2 linked regions of the Lonchura striata genome follow. The protein of the gene in region 1 purifies or fractionates together with the protein of each later gene. This does not show direct contact. Links are inferred from orthologs where the notes say so. Each region holds a gene or a part of one and is shown on either strand. Other genes may lie near its edges. The genes, in order: INPP5E and PDE6D.

What was found.
Region 2: the proteins of INPP5E (region 1) and PDE6D purify together in Homo sapiens (affinity purification with mass spectrometry; 3 studies listed by BioGRID and IntAct, with this or other methods). This does not show direct contact. The link is inferred for Lonchura striata from reciprocal best matches to the Homo sapiens genes INPP5E and PDE6D.

What each region holds. Positions count from the first base shown.
Region 1 is NC_134624.1:8,888,431-8,899,474, forward strand, and holds the start of INPP5E (phosphatidylinositol polyphosphate 5-phosphatase type IV), read left to right. Parts: upstream 1-5,677; 5' UTR 5,678-5,760; intron 5,761-6,379; 5' UTR 6,380-6,576; coding exon 6,577-7,418; intron 7,419-8,901; coding exon 8,902-9,025; intron 9,026-9,214; coding exon 9,215-9,312; intron 9,313-9,849; coding exon 9,850-9,974; intron 9,975-10,093; coding exon 10,094-10,213; intron 10,214-10,584; coding exon 10,585-10,692; intron 10,693-11,044. Other genes in the region: protein transport protein Sec16A, read left to right, coding at 14-70, 235-346, 648-785, 862-962, 1,339-1,413, 2,039-2,098, 2,992-3,066, 3,482-3,550. UniProt on the Homo sapiens protein: Phosphatidylinositol (PtdIns) phosphatase that specifically hydrolyzes the 5-phosphate of phosphatidylinositol-3,4,5-trisphosphate (PtdIns(3,4,5)P3), phosphatidylinositol 4,5-bisphosphate (PtdIns(4,5)P2) and phosphatidylinositol 3,5-bisphosphate (PtdIns(3,5)P2).
Region 2 is NC_134612.1:18,212,688-18,224,502, reverse strand, and holds the start of PDE6D (retinal rod rhodopsin-sensitive cGMP 3',5'-cyclic phosphodiesterase subunit delta), read left to right. Parts: upstream 1-6,165; 5' UTR 6,166-6,258; coding exon 6,259-6,308; intron 6,309-11,815. UniProt on the Homo sapiens protein: Promotes the release of prenylated target proteins from cellular membranes. Modulates the activity of prenylated or palmitoylated Ras family members by regulating their subcellular location.

The sequences.
Region 1 (11,044 bases):
GATTTTCTTTTAGATTGTTTGGGATGAGCAGAAACAACGTTGGGTAAATCTGGATGAACCAGAAGAAGAGGTAAAAATCCAAGTCCTCATGATTTCTCAAAGTGGAAAACAAAAATCTGTACTTGGTGCACAATTTTCTTTACTTGTCTCTTAAAAGCTGCTTTTTACTGAATTTGGATTAAAATGTGCTACATCAGACAATGGTGTGATTGGATTTTTTTTGTCTCCTTGCAGAGTAAACCTCCTCCACCACCTCCAACAGGATTTCCTAAAGCTGCTCAGGCTGCTCCCCCTGGGCCTGGAGGCCCCCCTGGTGCCTCTGTCAACGTGTTCTCCAGGAGAGCAGGTATCAGCCAGCACTGATATTTGAAGACTTTCTCCTGCATAAAATATGAAGGCAGAAGCTCTGACTTGCCCTGGGTTGTTTGGGAACAGCTGGCAGCTCAGTGTTGCTGGCTTTGCTCATGCCCAGCTCCTGCACTGCTATCACAGTGTACAGTGTGACATGACTTGGGTATTACTGTTTGTATCCCTGGAGTGTTATTTCCTGATCCTAACAGATGCTTTAACCAGCCAACTGTTCAAAGTAGACACAGGCATGATAAACACAAGGGTTCTTTCTGTTTTTCTGCATGTTTCTGGTTTAGCTGGGAGCAGAGCCCGTTATGTGGATGTCCTGAATCCAGGAGGAACCAAGGCAAGTGGTGCTGTTCCTGCACCATCAGACCTGTTTGCCCCCCTGGCACCTATGCCCATTCCTGCCAACGTGTTTGTTCCAAACTCAGGTGTGTGGATGGGATTGTGGGGAGGTTTTATGGCTATTTATGGGGTGTATTTGGGTAATTCCTATTTCTTCTGTAGTTCCAGGGGAATCCCAGCCCGTGGAGGGGAGTGGAGCAGCAGAGCACACACCAGCTGCAAACCAAACCAACACAGACCCTGCTGCAGCTGTGGAGCCAGAGGTGGGTTCCAAGGAATGTCTTGTAGGAGAACCCAAAGTTCTGATTCAAACCCCCTCAGGATTCTGAGCAGCAGTTTCACAGCCACAATCCTTAAAGCATGATGTTGTTGTAGGGTTTGTGGTTTAACGTTTTACTTAAAGAACAGAAGAGAAATACAAGTGAAAATGGAAGTGGGAGGTTGCATTTCCTAATTTGAATAGGGCTGCAGCTTCCATGGGTGCAGGAAAGGGACTGAGAACATGGGAAGAGTCTTGCACTGCACACTACACCTGCCTGATGTGTTGTAGCATTGTTCTGCCCCAGTGGGATCTTTAAGGGAAATGTGGAATAGCCTTGTAGTAATGATGATAAACAGAAGTGCCTTGTTTTCCTTCAGTACTTAAACCCTGCAGCCCTTCCTCCTGGATCTGGACTTCATGTTCCTAACCCTGATGGCTCCCAGTCAGGCGAGGTAAGGCTTGATGCAAAGTATTTAATTAATGACTTTTTACTGTTAATTGTAGTGGTCTTAAAATGGACCATCTAAAACAAGTAACTGATTCAGTTGCTGATAAGTAGCCAACATGTGATATGACTGCCTCCAGAATTACACAGAAAAGACCTCTAAGCCCATATGAGAAGTTCAGCCTCCATTCACAACCCTACATTCTGTGATCTCCTTTTCCTATATAAGTACATTTAAAAGCCCTTTTTCAGATTAAAATGTCAGTAGCAGTTGCAGGCTCTCTTCTTGCCTCCATGCATGCATATAATTTCACTAATATTAAGTGCAAGACACAAGGAGAGCAAGTTGCTGTGTGCCAGGCAGAGTAACATGACCTTTGTTCCTACTAAATGTTTTCTATACCTACATAATTTTGTGCTTTAAGAAGTCCTTTTGATTTAAACTAACTTCTGGCTTTACGTTTGTTTTTGGTTTTTGTTTTTTTTTTTTTTTTTAACTTGAAGTTGGTTTAACCTTTGGCAGTGAGACTTTGACAATGAAATAAAACAACTGAAAGCTTGAGGCAGTGACATGCATGACGACTTTTTTTATTTGTGTTTTTTTGTATTTGTGTGTTCTTGCTGTTTTGTAGCTTTCGCGCTCTAGTTCAATGAGTTCATTATCACGTGAAGTAAGCCAGCATTTTAATCAGGTACATGTGGCTGGCCATTCTCATTTATGTTAACTTATTTACTTTCCCCCACCTCCCCTCTTTATTTTGCATCTGCTCAAATACTAATGCTACTTTTAGTCATTTCCCCCTCATTTCACAGAATTATCATTAAAAGTAGATCATGATGTAGTGTTCCTTTTTACACTCAAACAGGGTCTTCAGTTTTGTGTCTTTATGAGAGTGCATGTAATCCAGGCATGCTTTTTATTGATGTTCCTAAGAGATTCACATAATTTCATCATCTTATTTCTGGGATACTAAAGAAATCAGTTGATTTTAAACAAAATAAAACCAAGCCTCCTCCAACGAAACCAAACCAACCTCCTAAAAAGACTCAATACAAGCAAAACTTGGTCTTTCTGCTGCTGCCAGTCTCAAATTGGTAATAAACCATTTGCAAAAGTCCCTGTAGGAATTAAAGGAATGCTTCATCTCTGCTGGAAGTTCCAGAGCTGTGGGGTCACCACAAAGGGGTGACAAAAACCTTTCTGATATTTTGTAATAAAGCAAAACCTGATATAGAATGTTTATTTTGGGGCAAGTCTTGAGGTGTGTACTAACAAAGGCAGAAGGTACTAATTGAGTGGAGTTGCACTGGTGTCTTGTGTTGGTTTTGCATGCTTTGGATCTGCAGAGCTATTTGCAGTTGATGCATGTGACACTGTTTGGCCAATTCCTACATTAAGCCAGCCCTGTTCTAGATCTGGATGCAAACTATGCCAGCACTCTGGAGTTTTTCCAATAGGCTGTACTCTCCATGTTGTTGGCATTATTCCTGTGAATATTTGCTCTGTATAACATAGCAGACCACATTTAAGAGGCACTGGAGTTCCTCTCTGCCTTTGTCTAATTTCAGTTTTTTCTCTTCCCAGCCTGCCACTGTTCCACCCTCGGGGGCACCTTCAGCAGGGGCAGTACCGTTCTACAACCCCTCTCAATTTGCACAAGTGAGTGAAGAGCTCATCTTTCCTTATCCTTTTTCTTATTATTCAAGATTTCCCAGGGAAGCTGTGCCTGCCCCTGGATCCCTGGAAGGGTCTAAGGCCAGGCTGAACAGGGTTTGGAGCAGTCTGGGACAGCAGAAGTTGTCCCTGCCTATGGCAGGGGGTAGAATGTGGTGGGCTTTAAAGTCCCTTCTGACCCAAACCAGTCTGATTCCATGCTTTGAACAAAACATGATTTTGTGCTTTATCAACTTCATCTGGGCTGTTGGATGTAGAGTGTTAAATGTGGACAAAGATCAGTCTGGCACCTGTTCAATTTAACAAGTTCCCATTCAAAACTTTATTGCTGATTTCTTGAATTTTTGTCTCCAGCATGACACTTCTACAGAACATTTTGTTATCCCTGTTCTTTTTACAGTCTCCTGCAGCCACTGGAAGTTCAAGACTGGGAAGAATTGGACAGAGGAAGTATCCAACACTGAAGTAGAATACAATGGCTTTGTATTTGGAATCCTTACTCATGTTCTGAGTATGCAAAGAGCTATTCAGCCTTATGGCACCTGGTATCAGCTGCAGGTGACATGACAGAAATCTAATGATGGGTGATCTTTTTCATGCTTGCACCTCATCTACGCAAACCATTACCAAACATGAAATGTATGTAACTTTTCCTTTTCAAAACCTGGCTAGAAATAGCTTTGCTGTGATAAAGAATAGGCACAAGAGAGGAAATAGTTGCTGTCTGTTACAAAACCTGTTTGTAAATTGCATAGGCAATTTATTCCTTAAGTTTATTTTAAACCTTACTAGCGTGACCTTCCGAGACATAGTTTCAGGGATTCCTTATTTTCTGAAGGATGCTCCCCTCCCAGCAGGGGTAAAAAAAAAAAAAAAAAAAAAAAAAAACACAACAAAACAAACATGTCCACATTGTAAAATAACACTGTGGCCTTAAGAGGACCATGCACAATTCCAAACAGAGTGTGGACCCAGAGATGTTCCCCTGGGAGGGGCTCACCCAGGAGCTGCCTCATGCTGGTTTGGTTTTTGGGAGTCAGGAGGGGGCCACAGCTCATCCAAATAAATCGACCTATATTGAATGAAAACTGTGACTGTAATCTAATCCTGATTTGATTTGGGTCTTTCCTAGTCTGTATGTAGTTTGTGGTTTAGACTACCTGTAAAGCCAAGTGTATAGTGGGAAGGAGCTCTGTATCATAGCCAACGCTGTTCTCTTGACGAGTGAGTGTTTGTTTAAGTGCAATACGGTTACTTTGCTTTCTCTCAAACTGCTGGCACTCTGCAGCTGGGGGGTAACAGCTTGAAAGTTGCTTATTTTTTCCTTTTGGGAGTGCCAGAATCAGTGTAATAAGCCGTTCTTGAATCTTCCTTACTAAAATAACCAAGGTCTTAAATAGCTAACAGCTAAATTTCATACTAAAAGTAGATGGATTAGACCTCTACAGATGGACTTCAAAATCTTTAGGTTTAATATAGGAAATCTTGAAAACCGTGGTATGCAGTGTTTATATTCACTGAAGAATCTGAATTATCTGCAAAGAAAGAAATAAACTTTAAATATTTATTAAATCATTAGGCCATATTTTATTTAGAACTTGCCACCAAACTATTTGATTTTACTTGAATTTCTGCCCAGGAGTAGAAGTAATACGAATGTGAAATTGCCAGTATTTGTCCCTAGTTGGGTTTTTTTTTTTTTTTTTTTTTTTTTTTTTGTTTGTTTGTTTTTTTTTTGTTTTTTCTTTTCCTGAATAACACCACTTTTCTAAGATTGTGTAGCCTTATCTATGTCCCAAAAAGTTTGTATGCAGCCCAAGTAAAACACTGTTTTGGGGGGGATTAGAAACTTTTGTGTGCTGGTCCATTCTCAATTCCCGACGTGGACAGCAGCAGTCAGTGTGGTTTACTTTTCTATAATTGAAACCTAATCAGACACTTGGCTTTCCTCTAGTCCAGCCAGGCTGCTGATTATTTTCTCCTTTCAGTAGAGACTGCCAAACAACTTCATGCAAGGAGGCTCCCCCTGAGCTGGGAGCGGCTGTCTTTCCTAAGTGTAAGATTTGACACTGTAAATTCTTAAATAAAATATTTTGCGCTCTGGAGCACTTTCACATTTTACTTTCTTCTTGTGGTTATTGCTTTAATGAGGTGGGTGAAGGAGCCTTTCCTTTTTGTCTGGGAACGATCTGTGTGAGGAAAGCGTTTGGTTTTTGGAACAGCTTCATCGGAGCAGGTGTCGGTGCAATATTGGGAAGAACTCCTTTTCGCTAAGGGTGAAGAGGCTGTGGTAGAGGTTGTCCCATCGCTGGAAGCATCCAAGGTCAGGCTTGGAGCATATGGAAGATGTCCATGTGTATCCACGGCAAAGGCTGGGAACTGGGCGATCCTCAGGGTCCCTACCACCCCCAGTCTGTCATTCTGTCATCGCCGTTTGTACTGATCAAAATCGAAGCTTGAGGCTTAATACAGGCATCTTTTAAATTCCCCCAAGTGTAATTAACACGTTTAATCTGTTTCTCAACGCCGCCTTCACCCCGCGCTCGCTGCCGGGCGCTCCTCCGGCCGCCGGGGGGCGCTGCGGGCGGGGCGGGCCCGGCGCTGCCCCCGTTGCCACGGCCGGGCCGGGACCGGAACGGGCAGCGACCGCGGATACCGGCGAGGAGCCGTGAGGGACCGGTGAGGCCCGCAGCGGCGGGGAGGGGCGGCCAGGGTGAGGGGGTGAGGGCCGGGTCCCGCCCGCCCGGCCGGGCTGAGGGCGGCGGCCCCTCGGTGCCGAGCCCGCGCTCGGGGCTGCCTCAGAGCCGCGTGTTGCCCCCTCAGGGCCGCAGAACGACGAGGTGCTTCCCCCCGTGTAGAGATGTACTCGCAGCCCGCTCCCGCAGCTCAAGCCGGCCCTGGGGTGTTTCTGTGAGCGGGGTTGGTGCAAGGCAGGAAAAAGCGGCAGCGATTTCCCGGCTCTGGGATCGCTGGAAATTTCCTGGCCTCGGGCAGCCGGTGCTGGTGACGCCTGTGTACAGCAAGGACAACGAGCTGTGGTTTCTGTGCAGCTTAAATTCCCTTTCGTGCTAGCAGGGCACGCTGCCTTTCCTGAAAGAAGGGTGTACACAGCCGTACAGGAGGTCTGTACTCTGCTTTTGGGGCAAAAAACAGGAAAGAACAGTGATTTTCTGACAAGGTCACGTTGAGGTGTGAGTTGTGCTATAGGGAGGTCCTGCAAGGAGATGCTTTCTGATCGAGGAGGACAGTTTGCAGCTCGATAACTTTTCCTTCTTATATCTTTCTTGGGGGAATCCAGGTACCCCACGTCTTGGAATTTTGCAGACAATGCATCTGCCTGCACATTCACCTGCCCTTCATTCCCAGCTAAAGGCTGAGCTGTCTGCAATTCCCATGTCTCACTGGCTGAGTAAAGCCCTGTGATAAAGGGAAGGAAAGTATGCTTTGAGGAACTTTTCACCTGGAGCAGCATCCATAGCTGGTACCTGGGGGACAATGAGCACTCCAAATGGATTTCCGCAGCACTCAAGGCTGTGTCTTACTCGGAGCATGGAGGGTGGAGCAGTACAGGACCTGCAGGCAAAAAAAGCTGGAAAAGCAGCCAAAAAGGAGGCTGGGGGTGATGGGGCACCTCCGAAAATAGGCACGCCCATAAGTGAGACCCTAAAGCTTCTGCCAGAAGAACTCAAAGCTAACATGAAAATTAAATCGATCACTCCAAGGCCCCCTCGGAAGCCCCGGCTGGAACGTGCTGCATCCCTGGATGAAAAGAGCTGGAGGAAGTGGAGACGATTTAGGACGAGCCAGGAAAGTCTGACTGATCCCAACGAGACGAGCTCCTCCAATGGTTCCCTGCAGGAAGCGTCCCCCAGCCCGCCCACCAGGGGCAGGGCCAGCCCCTGCAATCCCTGCTGCCAGCAGGATTCCTTGCACAGTTCACCAGACGCCTTGGAAGCCAGTCCCGGGGGGAAGAGCAGGGCAGGCACCTCGGACCTGGGCAAACGAGCCTCCGAGATCTCCAGTGCCTTTGGGGGGCTCCTGCGGGGCAAGGGGTTCGCGGGGGGCAAACCCCGCCTGTCCCAAATCATGCCGGCCCGCCCCCTGCCTCCCATGGAGCTCAACGCGGCCTCCCACTCGCTGAGGACAGCTAATAGGATCGACTCAGATTGCCTGGATTACCGACATTATTCTCAGCACAAGTTTGGCAGGGTGAGCAGCAGCCTCAGCGACTCCCGGCTGCAGGGCAATGGGACGCTCTATGACAATTGCTCCACAGACTCCATGAAATCCACCTTCAGCGTGCTCACTCCCATCCGAGCCAAGGATGTCCGCAGCAGGTAGGGCTCCCCCAGCTTTTCTCCTGCTTTTGGGGTGTCAGCAGGGAGAAGAATCCCACTGGGCAGGGAACTTCTGAGCTCCAAAGCCATTCTCTGTTCTTTAACCTGCTGTGAAGGGTGTTGGAAGATGAAGAGATCAGTACAAGTACTCTGCATTTTCTCCTTTCCTCCTTTTAGCTAAGTATTTTCATAAATCTCAGTCTGGTTTGCTGTCAGTTTGCTTGTAATATTAACATAATCTGATTTGAGAATTAAGAAGTGGTGGCTGTGCATACCAGCAGTTGGGAAAACTTTTTTTAGAAAAATCTAAAAGTACACTGAGCTTGAACTGAAATGATAAATTACAGAAAAAAATAACACCAGATATTTTAAATTGAGATTGTCATACAGCATTATCACAGTCCTGTGAGGTGCTGAGCAGAAGTTGCACTTGTTTGCTTTTTGGTAGGATCAAATTATGTGCTGGGAACTACTCCAGTATCCCACAGGAGCTCCTCTGCAGGAGGGAAAATCCTAATCATTGATCCAAAGCGTGGGAGTCAGTAGTGGAGGGGAAACAATTCTGAGATAAATTAAAATGTTACTAGCTGGTAAAAAAACCCCAAAGATAGATTGTTACTTGTTTGCCATGAGGGTTTTCTTTCCCATTCCTCCCTAAAGCTGCTGGAGCCAGGAGGGCAGTGCTGGGTTGCCCAGAACTCCCTGACTTTATTCTCTCATCATTATTTGCAGATCTTAAGCAAGATTAAAAATGTTTATTCAACATGCAGTCCCTGTGCCAGCGTCCCTCAACTCCTGTGGGTGCTGTGGGATGCATCTGTCCTTCCCAAAGGGGATATTTTGAGACCTCAGGCTCAATAAATTATTTTCTTGAAGTTGATTTGATCAGCTGAATTAAAGGAAGAATGAGTGAGTTTGAGTTTTTTGTTAAAGAAACCTGATGCCAGAACACTGGGAATGGTGGAGCTGTTTTGATGTTTGAAGTAAACTGAGCTGCTTCAAGGTACTCAAATTTAATGGAATCACAGAATCACGGAATGGTTTGGGTGGAAGGGACCTCAAAGCTCATCCAGTGCCACCCCTGCCATGGCAGGGACACCTTCCACTGTCCCAGGCTGCTCTAAACCCTGTCCAGCCTGGTCTTGGGCACTGCCAGGGATCTAGGGGCACCCACAGCTCCTGTGAGCACCCTGAAGTTACCAAACCAATTTCTTTGTTCTGTATCTGGATGAATTTAGTGGGGCTGAAGACTTTGGATTGCTTCAGTCTTCTCATCACAGAACTTGAGCATCATCAGCCTCACCATCACCCTTGTGTCTTGGCTTTGGAAGGAGCTTCAGGCAAGCAGAACAATTTATAAATGTTAAATTCCTTCTTCTTAAAGGTATATTCTTGATTACTTAAAGATTTAAACATTACACATCAATATCCCAGCTGCCCTGCCCTTTCCTTAAATGGTCTTCTTTGGGTCTTCTGTCCACAGGAGCTATTTGGAAGGCAGCCTTCTGGCAAGTGGTGCCTTAATGGGAGCAGAAGAACTCAGCAGATATTTCCCTAATCGGAATATGGGAATCTTTGTGGCCACCTGGAACATGCAGGGGCAGAAGGTAGGTGCACAGTAAAGCTGGCAGTAAAGTTACCCCAGCTCTGCTGAGAGGACTGGGGGAATGTTTTTCTGTTCAAGACTATGTTCCTTGTCAGTCATCTTTGTCAAATTAAAAGGTATTTTTCTAGTAAATATTTGCATAACTAATACTGCTTTTCTTTCTTTTTATTTTAAATTTCATGTGTAATAGGAACTTCCAGTGAATCTGGATGACTTCTTATTGCCAACAGATCCAGACTTTGCCCAGGACATGTATGTCATTGGGGTTCAAGAAGGCTGTCCAGACAGGTAGCAAAAACAATGTAATGAACCATCTTCTTTTATTGTTAACTAATAATTTTGCTTTGAAACAGACTAGAAATAGTCATTGTATTTCTAATATTTTCAATAATCAACCCATTTAACAAGACTGAATTCTATTGCATGAGCACCAGAGGAAATGGGATTTAGAGGAAAAAGTGACAGAGATCTGTAAATCATAAAATCCCAGAATGGTTTGGGTTAGAAAGGACATTAAAGCCCATCCAGTGTCACCCTCTGCCATGGGAAGGGACACTTTGCACTAGACTAGGGTCCTCCAAGCCCTGTCCAGCATGGCCTTGGACACTCTCAGGGATAGAACAGCTTCTGTGTACATACAGAATTTCATCCTGATGGCAAAGCTCTGCTGATTTCTGTGGCACCTCAGCGGCCACCCCTTAGTTCAGTGCAGGGAGGTTCTGTTTATGCCTTGATGTTGTGTGTGAGAGGGATTGCTGCGTGTGCACAAGGCTGACGTGCTCTCCCGTGCTGTCTGTGTGATCCAGCTGTTGTTCTCTCCTGCAGAAGGGAGTGGGAGATCCGCCTGCAGGAGACGCTGGGCCCCCACTACGTCCTGCTGCACTCGGCTGCTCACGGCGTGCTCTACATGTCCGTGTTCATCCGCAGGGATCTCATCTGGTTCTGCTCGGGTGCGTGGGGAGCTGAAGGCACTGCTGCCAGCCTCTGCCCTGCCTTTTCTCCCTCTCCTAACCTCCCTGCTCACTGTCAGAAGCATTTCAGTAACAGCATCTTCTTTTCTTCCTTCCAGAAGTGGAGTATGCCACGGTGACAACTCGAATCGTGTCTCAGATCAAAACCAAGGGAGCTCTGGGAATCAGCTTCACGTTTTTTGGGACCTCCTTTCTCTTCATCACCTCCCACTTCACATGTGAGACATTTGCAATCTTGCTACGAGTGTCCTGGTTGAGGGAGGAGGGGAGGGAGCTGTACAGAGGTGAAAAAGCAGGACAGGCTGAAGCCAAAGCTCAGGATTGCTGAGCTGACAAAGATAAGGGAGGAAGTTTATTTGGTAACAAACTTACAAAAGAACTGTGTTAATGGAAACAGAAATGAACTCTGCACCATTGTGTCCCTCTTCCCACACTTTCTGCCATCATTATTCAGTGCAGACACTCCCAGAGTGTCACATTTGATATGTGGAAAATGTCTGATACCCTTTGGAAGCTCCTGGTATAACAAAAAATGATTGTTGAATGAAAATGATTCACTGGTGGTAGTAATGGGGTTTCTGTCTTGCAGCTGGGGACAGTAAAGTGAATGAGAGGAAACTGGACTACAATAAAACCATTCAAGCCCTTACACTTCCCAAGAATGTTCCGGACACAAATCCATATCGATCCAGCTCTAGTAAGTGGGAAACCATGAGCATGGGGAGCCCGGGTCAGCAGAGTGTGCATTATCTCTGCACTGGGAAACAGACAAGAAGAGTGATAATTTGAGACTGTGTAAAAAGAAACCACAGGTCTTTTTGTCTGAGAATGGTTATTACTCCCATGATTTATGTTTTTTTCTCTTGAAATTGGGAATTTGAGAAAAAAATTGAAATGGAAGAGAGAAAATTCAAAAGGGAATTTTTACATTATGTATTTTTTAGCAATATGATAATTATGGTTTAATTATTCTTAATATTACAGATGTGTTTTACTTTCTTGGTGTTTTCTAGAACAATTATATATTGTTATTATATATTGGAATGATA
Region 2 (11,815 bases), on another chromosome or scaffold:
GTGATGCTGCCAAATAATACCAACTGTAAAGATGCTTATTGATACACTTGATTGACTTTCTCCTTCCTCATTGCACAGCTCCAAACCAGCAACCAACATAATTCCCTGTGAAGGACTGATGCACTCTGTATGCCCACACATCCCACCTTTTCCTTTGACTCTGGCTATTGATAGATTGTGTTCCCATAATTCCCACTGAGCCCAAAAGGTAAAAAGAACTGGGGCCTGTAAGCAGCTCCCCTGTCTGCACTGTGCAGTTCAAGTGTTTGGGGTTAACTGGGAAGCTTAAGTGATAAAAATACCCTTTCTACAAAGGCTCTATTTAAGTCCGTGTGAAGAGAGGTCTTTGTCTTCAGCTGCTGCCTGACATTTCTGGTGTGCATGTTGTCTCCCAGCACCAACATGTTGCTTTTGAAATGTAAACCACTATTTATTAACAAGTTCCAGAGAATGAGCTGTTTGTTTACAAACAAATAAGACAAAACTTCTCAAGCATGTTATTCAGAAACCAAATAAAGAACTTAGCAGATAAGGGAGGTTTTGTTTATGTTTGTAAGGGATGATTAGCAAGCAGAGAGTATAACCTTGATGAAAACCAAACACCAGAGAGCCTGTCTGGTTCTGTGTGACCCACATGGGCTGGGCCCACATCCACCCTTGTGGGGGCAGCACAGTCATACAGGGGTTTTGCTGTTTCACCAGGCCTAACCAAATTAAGGCTTGTGAAGGCATCACAGCTTCATGTATTAATCAACTTCTAAAAATACACTTTACTTTGTTCTATTACACCTGCAGGTACAAATGGTCTCAGCTTTAGAGGGCAACCTTTAACACTCTCCACACTGAGATATCTCAGCCCCCGAAGTCTCTCTGGGGTTCCTTCCACCAGAGGCACAGCACAGCTGCTGAACAGCACCTCAGCTCTGATCCCGAAACCCCTGCACCACAGAACACTCAGTGTGCCTGCCTAACACATCAGTGTGCTCCCTCTGCTCGCAGAGAGGGCAATTTCCTCACGAGAGAATATGGATTGACTGTGCTAGGAATGAGATTCAGATTTCACAGTTCTATTGTCCTCCCTCACAGGTAATCAAACCATGTATGAGGTTACAAAAGACTGGCTGGCTGAATCCATGCCCTGCTGGGAAGAGATGCAATTCTCTGCCCCTTTCCAAGTAAATGTTCGGACAACTGCGGTGCTATCGCAAGGTGTGTGCACACCCGTGTCACAGGGAATACCTCGCTGCTTCCACAACCGACTTATCGTGGTGAGAAGCGACTGAAATAAAGCACACACTCCAACGTAGCTTGTCCAAAGGCTACAACAACCCAAGCAGGGGGACAAGCCGGGCTTCTCTTGCGGTCAAGCCTTTCGAAGGTAGCTCAAGGAGTTTCAGGGCGGGGAGCGGCCCGCAGACCCTGCAGCAGGAAGGCGGGGGTTTCCCGGCCCTGCCGTTCCCCCCAGACCCCTGGCAGAGCCTGGGGCCCCACCGAGCCCTGCCGCAGGGGGGAATTTCCTGTGAGTCCCTCACCGCCGCCCCCGTTCCCGGGAGGCTTCTCCCAGTCCCGGCGTTACCTCTCCGCTGCCGGCCTCCCGTCCCGCCGCTGAGCCCGCCGCGCCTCACGCCGCCATGATGGCGGCACCGGTGTCCGCGCGCGGCTCCTTCCCCCCCGGAACGCGCGGGCCACGCCGAACGTTCCGCCCGACCCCGGCGGCCGCACCGAGCGGGAACCGCGAATCCGGGAATGCCGCATCCCGGGAATACCGGCATGGGGACGGCGGGCTGGGCGTGCTGGCACCGACAGAGCCATGGTCCGGCAGCCCACGGAGCAAACTTCACTTCTTTATGCTGCGCCAGCTGCTCTGCTGGCTCCCAGCAGCTGTCCAGTATAAGCAAGTAAAATTCCTGCCTCTTTTAGGGGATATGAAATCCTGTGGCAGCATCACGGCGGTTTGCACCCCAAAATAACCCGTGCAAAGGGCTGCTGTTGTAAGGCCACTTCGTTATTAGAAGTGGGGCCATTATTAGATTGAATGGTTGCACGGAGCATTTGCACCGACTCCCCAGGGAAGTGATCACAGCTCCAAACCTGGCAGAGCTCAAGGAGTGTTTGAACAACACTCTCAGGCACAGGGTGGGATTCTTGGGACTGTGCTGTGCAAGGACAGGAATTAGGCTCAATGATCCCTATGAGTCCCTTCCCATTCAGGATATTTGGTGATTCTACCAGCTGAGCCTCTCAGGCCAGTCCTCCTGGGAAATAGCAAGAGATGGAGTGAAGATAGAACTGATTTTGAACTCCATAGAAAAATGGTCCATACAAATGATAAATCAAAGGGCAGAGCTCTGGCTGTGACATAGGGGAGCAGGGAGGGAACTGGAAGGGTTAAGATCCTCCCCAGGGCATAGATCAGGAGCCAAAAGATGCTTGAAGGGGTATCAGAATGAGGGTAGAAACAAGAGGGAATTGGGGATTGTTAACCTCCCCAAAGTTTGTAGGCTCATCCATGCCATGTTGTGAACTAAATGTGCCTCTGTTAAAAATCCTTCAGCTGAGAGCAAAGTGCTTCTGGCTTTCAGTCAGCAAGTCTCTGAAGATCAAATCATGGACCAGGAAGGGGGGAGCTTTCAAGGAATGAACATCAGAAACTATTAGGGAAACTGATGGGGCTTAGCCTGTGTCTCAGAGCCAGGGCCCTGGGGTCCCATCATGCATCAGAGAAGGAGTGTCAGACAAGTGCAGAGATGCAGGTGTTGGAATGCTGTTGTGACACTCTGGGCTTCACAGCAAATTGGATGTAAAAAACCAGACCCTGCACAACAAGGGAACTCAGCCAGGGCTATAACAAGCCAGTCAGTAATTTACTTAAGCCACACTTAGCCCTCATCTGCACAGGGAGGGAGAATTACCTCTTTAATCACATCCTAACCAGGCCCTTCCCCACAGTTCCTGTCATCCTGCAGACATGCTGGAACAGTTGCCTTGGACAAGCAGTGTGTGGCCTCCTTTTTCCCAACACTTGCTAAAGCTCGAATTCCAGGCTGAAATAGAAATGGAAATATATTATTGTGAGCTATTTTCCATGGATTCTGCAACCTTTTGCTAGAGCCTGTGGCTAAAAATCATCTGTTAGCCCCATGTAGGTCAGCCAGGAGTCTCTGTCCTGATACCTCCCAACTGTTGACAGCCAGCCTGGCTGGCTGACCTGGACTTTGGAGGACAGAGTCAGCTAAGCTCAGCTTTTGGGATGGATTTTTGTTTTTAAGAGGAAAAAAATATGTGTATGTCCAGCTGTCTCATTCCCTTTTAAACAGCTATTGCAACCTCTTGCTCCACCCACGCAGCTCTCTGTGTGCCAGGATATGTTAATCCATTTTATCTTTTAATGTTGGCATTATCTCTTGGCTCACCCCACCTCTTCCCCTTGTGACTCTGCAGTCCAGGTCCCTTTAAGGCAGCACATAATTCACCTTATTTCCCTGCATTGCCACAGTAATGTCCCCAAGCAGTGGGGTCCTGGACCCCCAGACTTTGAGGACACCTGACGTCACCAAGGAGAGGGCCAACAGTGAAAACACTTTTGTGTTTCTTATTTTTTTCCTTATATTTCATTACTCACCTGTGTGTGCTTCCATGCATTTATCCTCATTCCCTGCAGCTGCCAGCACACACCTCCAGAGCATGATGGAGACGAGCTCCCAGGCCCTACTGAAAAGTTTCCAAACTCTCTGTATTTCCCAGGATCCAGGGAGTAAGCTGCTTGCTGGACTCTCATCTCAGCCAGGCAAGGAGTGATGTCTGGGTAGTTGTACAACCTCTTCCATCAAGTGTGGGGTGGGATGAAGCCCTGGTTTACTAAACTATCCCCCAGTTATGCTGCTCTGCAGAAACACCAGCTCCTTCACCTGCACCTGGAGAAGCAGAAAACAGGCTGGAGGCATCTTCTTGCCTGCAGTGGTAGCTCAGAAGCTGCCACACCTGCCAGTGAAGTGAAGGAAAAGCTTTCAGTTCCAAGTGTCACCAAAGGATAGAGGGATTTGCAGCAACTTTCTTGCAAGGAGATTTTTAAGAAGATGTGCTCAAGAGTGCTGTTTGTGTTAATGCAGCCCAAGGCCTTTGAGAGATCCCAGGGTTTTTGTCACTCTGAGTTGTGCTGTCACGTGTTCCACTGCTGCCTGGCCCTGCACAAGAGCTTCACATTTCAGCTATGAGCTCTTCTGTGATTTTCAGAAATTCATGAATGAGAGGCTTGTGCCTCCCTGCACAGCAAGAGGACTTTGTGAATTCTGAGACTTGGCCAGGAAATGCAAAGGCTCCAACTTGAAACTCCACAAACATCTCTACCCCTGTGCTAGAGAAGCCCTTCAAAGCTGCAAGAGTTCCCTTCTATGAGATTTATTTGGTCTCTGGCTCCTTAATCTCTGAGGAGCCTGAATGGAGACAGGATTGAGTTTCTTACGACTTGTCTGAACCAGAATGTCCAACTTCCACCTAGCAGGCTCATTTCCTACATGCAACCATTTGTTTCTGCCTTTTCCAGGTCTGCTTTTGTCTTGCTTGCCTTTTCTCCTTATCAGTCTTTTCTCTTCTTTAGACAGCATGCAATTCCACAGCCTAGCTAAAATCCAGGATGGACTCTTAATAAAATATATATCTGCACAGCTCACTCCTGGCATTCTGCCCACACTCAGAATGACCCCTTCATACACTTAAACTGATGGTGGGAAATTGAGCATGGCTCATATACATCAGGAAAATAAATGCTGCCTATTTTTAAGATATTTTGTCAGTTGTACTGACAGTGGCCTTGCCCTTATGCATTAAATGCAGCCTTTATTAACAATCAGTCTCCACTTTTGTACAGCGGGCGATTTGGAGGCAAGCAGAGCCATGCGTGAGTGTATTGATGGCACCCTGACTGTTCACTGCTCCTCATCTGAGGACTGGGTTACAACTGCTGGCTTTATTTTTACCACGACTTAATGCTTTTATCAGTTGCACTCAGATTGTTAAGAGAGGGGTTAATTAATTAGCTCATGTAAAAGAGCAGCCTGGCTTCTGGGATGTGCTAACAATACTGAGACTTTTCCCCCCACAATCAACTCTGCTACACAAACATAAAAGCCATGAAGACGATTAGAAGGCTAAAGCACCTCTTCTCCGAGGAAAGGCTGGAAGAATTTGCGTTATTCAGCCTGGAGAAGGTTCCAGGGTGACATTATTCAGGACTTTCTGTACCTGAAGGGGTCCTACAAGAAAGCTGGAGAGGGACTTTTTACAAGGCAATACAATTCTAGGGATAGAACAAGAGGAATGGCTTCAAAATGACAGAAGGCAGATTTAGATTAGATGTAAGGATGAAATTATTTCCTGTGAGGGTGCTGAGGCACTGACACAGGTTGCCTGGCAAAACTGTGGATGCCCCATCCCTGGATGTGTTCAAGGCCAGCCTGGATGGTCTTTAAAGTCCCTTTCAACTCAAGCTGATCTGTGATTCAAATTTCTGCAGCACAAAGAAGGCTGCCTTTGTTCCAGGGGGTAGCACTCTTTATCTTAAACCTTCTCCACAATGCTGGTCCCGTTGGCTCCGGCCTCGGGACACGCAGAATCACAGAGCTGTTGGGTTTGGGAAGGACCTCTGGCGACCATCCAGTCCAACTCCCTGCCAAGGCAGGGTCACTTGGAGCAGATGACACAGAACTCGTGCAGGTGGGTTTTGAAGGTCTCCAGCAGAAGCTGCTCCGGGTGGAGCTCCGCCGAGCAGCCCCAAAGACGAAACCTCGGGGAGCCGCTGCCTGGGGAGAAGCGCCAGCCAAGCTCCGGCGGCTCGGGGCCGTTCGGCCGCCGCTGGCTGGGCCCGGGGAGGCTTCTGGCCCCCTCGACTGCTCCCGCTGAGGCCTCCCGGGCGCGGGGACCGCCCGCAGCCCTGCCCGGTCACCCTGCGGCGCCGCCACCGCGGCCACGTCAGGCCCAACCACAGCGGCCCCGCGACCGCCGCGCACCCACCCTTGAATAGAAGAGCGCCGCCTGATTGGTCAGGAGCGCTGTCATTCCTGCGCCAGAAGGCGGGGCTAAGAGGGGACGGCAGCAGCTGATTGGTCGGCACGGCGGCGGGCGGCCGCTGGGGTTGGTTGCGCCGGGCAGTGGCGGGTGCGCGGGAGGGAGGGGCGGGGGGTCCCGAGGCTCCGCTGTCACCGCCGCGCTCCCGCCAGGCCCGGCCCAGCCCCGTCCGCCCGCCCGCGGCGCGGCAGGACCATGTCGGCCACGGACGAGCGGGCCAAGGAGATCCTCCGCGGCTTCAAGCTGTATCCTCCGTGCGCGGGGGCCGCGAGGCGCCGCGGGGGGCGCGGGGATCGCCGCCCCGCTGTGGCGAGGCCCCTGGGGCGGGAGGGAGGTTGCCATGGCAACGCGGTTCTCAATGGCGTCCGCGCTCCGGCGGTGACGGGAGGGTCCCTCGGGGCTGGGACCGGCCCTGGGCCGGCCGGGCCGGGGGGGCGGGGAAGGAGGCCTCGCGATGCCGGGGTCCCGTCCCTGCCTGCGGTGCCGCGGGTGAGGGGTCCCCGCGCCCAAAGTCCTGAGCCGGTGGGCGACCGCCGCCCCTCGGCCCCTGCCCGGCGCCGAGAGGGGCTGGGCGGCGGCGGCGGCCCCGGGCAGCCGGAGCCCCCCGCCCGCAGCGAGGACAGCTTACGGAGGGCAGGTGAAGTAGCTCTGCGCCTGGATCTGACCCCTTTCCCTCCGGCCTGCCCTTCAGCACCTCTGCTCGGAAGGGAGATACCTGGTCATCAGGTGCAGGAGCACCCAAGCACCTCGTTCCTTGTCATGCCGTGAGGTACTGGCACATGTGTTGGTCGTGCGGTGTCTTTTATTGCTGACGTATTCTGCGTGTAAATGCCTTTCTGTGCAGCTCGTTTAAAAACTTTTCATGTTGTGGCTTTCAAAAAGCGTTCTGATTTTATGCCTGTGGTACCTGGATGTGAATTTAAAGCTGATGAAATGAGATAGAGCTGAGCTTGGAACAGAGGCAAGTGCCTTTGTGCACCTTCCAACCCAGGATTTCAGCAAAGCAGAGAAAGGCTTGACCTAAAGGCCCATGTTCAAACTAAAGGTGTGAGAAATATTGTAGCTTTATTTTACATGTGGAATATTTTACTGAAGTAAATTCTTCTCAGCTTAGAAGGCAAATGCAAGATTGCTATCTTGATCTTTAGACATCAGAATATTGTTATAAGTTGGTTCTTTTTTTTTACAATAAAAAGGACAGAAGTGAAGGAAATATCCTCTTGATCGAAGCCTGTTATTTCTAAACAGGGTGGTGGGGTTTTTTGTTCTGTGAGATGTTCATAATCTCTATGCCAGCTGTAGCAGGATGTGATTTTTTAGGTTAGATTTAGACAGATAGCTTTTATTAAACTATAAGCCGATGCTTTTCTTAACTTTTTATCATTGCAGTCTCCTCCAGCTGTTAGTACTTCATCTGGTTCCTTTGCTTCTGCACTGGCACTATTGACAGTTCTTTGTATTTATGAAGATGTGGAATTTTAGCTGTCAAAAAATAAACTAAAAATCTTTTCTGCTGGCAATCAGAAGAATAAACTTCTCACAAGACCAGACTAAGCTGTTGGTAGAAGTGAGGAGTGCTTTGGAAGTTAAGCCTAGGGAGAAAACTTTTAAGTGCTTTTTGCATGTGTTTGTACATAGTATTTATTGGATAGCAGAATTTACATAAAGGCCTTTGCCCAACTCTGAATGAAATAATACTTTTTGTTGTTTGCCGTCTTAAAGAGAAAATGCATTTTGCTCTTTGAGAGGAAGGATGTCAGACAACAAATTATGATCTCAAGCAGCCATAGCATGGATAAGAAGTTTTATTAGAAGCACTCTGCAGTCTGTGTTGAAGCATCTCAAGTCTAGTCTTCCTTTGTTTGTCCTTGCAAAAAAAAAAATACTTCTGGCAGGACAGTTTAAGTTAAAATCTGGGGAGCTGCCACAGGGGCTGTGTAGTGCAAAGTCTGACAAACAGGAAAGTTTGGAGAAACATTTCATAACTGAAACTTTTAGCAAGTTGAAATAGTTGAGAAACATCTATGTTGCCTTTAGTAAGCCAGAAGAGAGGCTGAGCAGACATTCCTCATTTGTGGGGAAGCCTTGAGACACCACACCATCCCCACAGGAAACTGCTCATGCCCAGCTGTGGCCATGCTCCCTGCAAGGGAGACATCAGCTCAGACTTCCCTTCCCTTGTCCAAGGGCAGGCATCTGTTCCAGAGATAATTGCAGTTTAGAGATGCTTTATCTTCCAGCCACCCTATTGCTGCATGTACTCATTTAATTAATAGAAAGGAAGAGAGAAACGTGTTCTGAAAAACTGTTCAGTTTATACTTTGAGTATCTGAAAACTTTGTCCTCTGCTCCCACATGGGAAGGAGTTCAGCTTCACCAACTCAAGCAACTTTGGCACTTCAAACTGAAACTTGCTTTTGGCACAAGAGAGGAGCATGGCATTGCACCCAGGGGCAGTGTGTGAGGGATTCCTTGGGAGAGAAGAAGAGTTGCTAGGGCCAAAAGCATCACTGAGGAAGCAGGCTTCCAAAATAATCCCTAATTTTAACATGACAGCAGACACTTAAGCTGGAAGTCCAGTTCACATTGAGTAATCAGAGTTTCCTCAAACAATTCTGTTTCCTTGTGGTTCCTGAGAAGGGGTTAATTACAAGCTTTCCAACTCATTGGGGCACGCTGGATGATTGGGGTATGTGGAAATTAAATTATAGCCTAAATCCACCCTCTAATTTCAATGCAAAGATAGGTTTTCCTTCCTCTATGACACTAGTGCAGAAACATGTAGTGACTAATGTCCCAAAATCCAAGCCAGGAACATTTATTCCTTCTTCTCATGGATTTTGTTATTTTAAAAATATTAAAACCTCTGGAAATATATTTGATGCTTGCAGGAAAATTAGAATATTATATATTACTACACTTATGCTAAGAATTTTTGTGGCACCAGTTAATATTACTAACAGTCCAATAAATACGGTGCAGAAAAATTTTGAAAGCAGACAACTAAGAGAGCTTGTCACTTGTTCAGGGACAATATTTGCTAATAGAGCTTGTGTGTTTATCAACAAACTGTTCTGAAGGCACTTGTCTGAACAGCAGTTGTTACACCCAATGTAATAACTACAGGTAGCTATGAAAATGCACTTGTTTGGCTACAAACAACATCAATCCAGTTGGTAACTGAAGATTCATTTGTGTGAAGCATTAGCCAAGTCTTATTTTTGCAAGTATTTATGCACATCTGGTCCTGTGATCTCAAATGCATTAAATTAGATTATGCCTTTTTTTTTCCCCTCTGGAAGATGGGAGAGTTATTCTGTCAAGCTACAGAAGGGCATTTTACTTGACCCTTACTTACCCTTTCCACACATTCTTCAGATCTTGTTCTGTCATTTTATCTTCAGTGTGTACTATTACATGCATTTATTTAGCATGATTTATCAAAAGAAAGTGATGTACTTCCCCAACAGTTAAAGTTCAGGAGTGTTTTATTTTGATGGCTCCCCCTCAACAACTCCCTTAACAATGGGTGGGTTGCCTCTTGACCTTTGTTCTGAGATGAACTAGCACAGAATTATTTTTCCAAAATGTGCTAGAATAAGGACTCTATAGATAGTTACCCTGTTTAGTTTGTTTTGGCAGCATTTGGAAAGCATCCATGCTGTAGATTAGAAATATCCAGTCATGGTTTGCAACAGCAGATTCACGTCCAACTTTTGAGGGACCACAGTCTAACTTCTTTAAGCAGTTCTTTCTGTGAGGTTTCAGTCAGAACAGCAAGGAAGAGAAAACCCAAATGAGTTGGTTGATTCTCATAGGATGGTTAAAGTTCCATGTATTGCTACTCAACACAGTGTAAGGACATATGCTTTCTATTTTAAATCTTACAAGTCAAGCAAGATATCACCTTTTATTTGCTTCTGTACAGAGAAGTCTTATCAAAATCTCTGTAGTTTTAATTGACCTGTAGCTGTTTATCAGTTTAGGATACATTTTTCCATTAACTTAATTTTAAGGCTGTGTAGTAGCCCATTCTTCAGAAGTTTCCTGAAACAAGGTAATACAGTGAACATAAGCAAGAAGAGACAATATTAACTGACAGTATTAACTCCAGAACAATTACAGAGTTACGAAACTTGCGTTTGTGGTCAGTGTAAATATACACCTGCAGCTCAAGCACTCCAACACTTGCAGGTAAAACTTCTTACGTCAAAGGTTGGCCTACTTTCCTACAGTCCTCAAAGTTCCTTGTGCAACATCTTCCCAGCTCCCAGAGCTTTTTTCAGCTTTATTTTCACTATTGCTTTTCTGCCTGGGAAGTCTTTCTAGCAGAGAATTATTCTCTTTGAAAGGTGGGTAGAGATGTATTGAAAATACAGTTATACCAGAATCATTAGGAGTATCTATTATATACTCTGCAGACAGGGAAACTTCCACTTCCAACTTCAGCCTGCTGTGCTGTACACACTGAAGTCAATGACAGTCTTGTCCATCATTCCTGGAACAGTCACTGGAATTTTGAGCTAGTTTGATGCAGCATTCCAAAGTTGAGCAATCTAATTGGAAGCAACATTGAAATAAGTTTCCGATTTCATTGTTAGGCTGGTAGGTGTTTGGCAGCTTATTAATTTGAAATGTTGACCTGCTGCAGTGTTTACAAAACTAACAAGGTAGCAGCTTTAACTGGCTTAAAGATTCCCCTTTGTTTTGAGGTTTCCTCTGTCCACTTCCTTAGATCTCACTCTGTTAGACTCCTTGCTATGGAATAGAAAGCCATCAATTTAATGGGTTAAAAGGAGACACTGGCTAGCCAAAAGATGGAACAGGACTTCCCAGAAGCTGGGACATGTACTCTTTAGAGACCCAAAGCAGAACGTGCACGTAGCTTGCTCTAATGCAATTTTAAAACACCCTGGAAAACATGAGTTCCTTGTCCCTCATCCATATTTCTGGTTTTTTGAACCCTCTTAACTTTCTGCAGAACTTAAAATACTTTACAAGCAAGAGTTGTCCACATTCCCAGTTAGTCTGACTGGAACAAATTCCCACCCCAGAAGCATTGAGAGATCTTTGTTTCAGAGACCAGAGTTTCACACAGAAGCTTTAGGCAGGTTGTAGTTGGTAGTTCAATGTCATGATAGTCAAGGTACCTTTACCACATCAGAATTATTCCTAGCACTGACAGAAGTTCTGCACTATGCAATGATCTCTACTTCTGGCATGCTAAACACAGAGTCATCATATTTCTTATGACTGAGTCATGAGGCACATCTGCAAATAAAGCAAGAACAATTTTACCAGGTTTGATTTTACCTGCCTGATTCCTGAGTGAACATCAAAAACTTCATATCCTCCCCTTGTTAACTTTAATTGAAAAAAAGTGTAAATATTTAACTGTGCTTAACCTGTGATTTGCATTAACTTGATATCTGAGCTACAGTCAATTGTCTACTTATCAGATTTAATGCAATCCCTATGTAGTGCTGGAAATGGGGATTGTGCCCATGACAGTGGAAGGGGCATCACAGGATACAAAGGAGTTGCCAGGTGCTACAGAGACTACATCTGGCATCAACTTAAAAGTAGAGGTTGACATTGGAGTTCGGGTTTTTCTTTTTAATCTGCAATATTACTTTAGCACTTTGTAGTTACAAATTTATATCTAAGATTTATCCTTTGATCTCTTCAAAGCCTACCCATCCAGCATTTTACTGGAATTATGGTTTCAGTCTTTTTAATTGCTTGCTTAGTG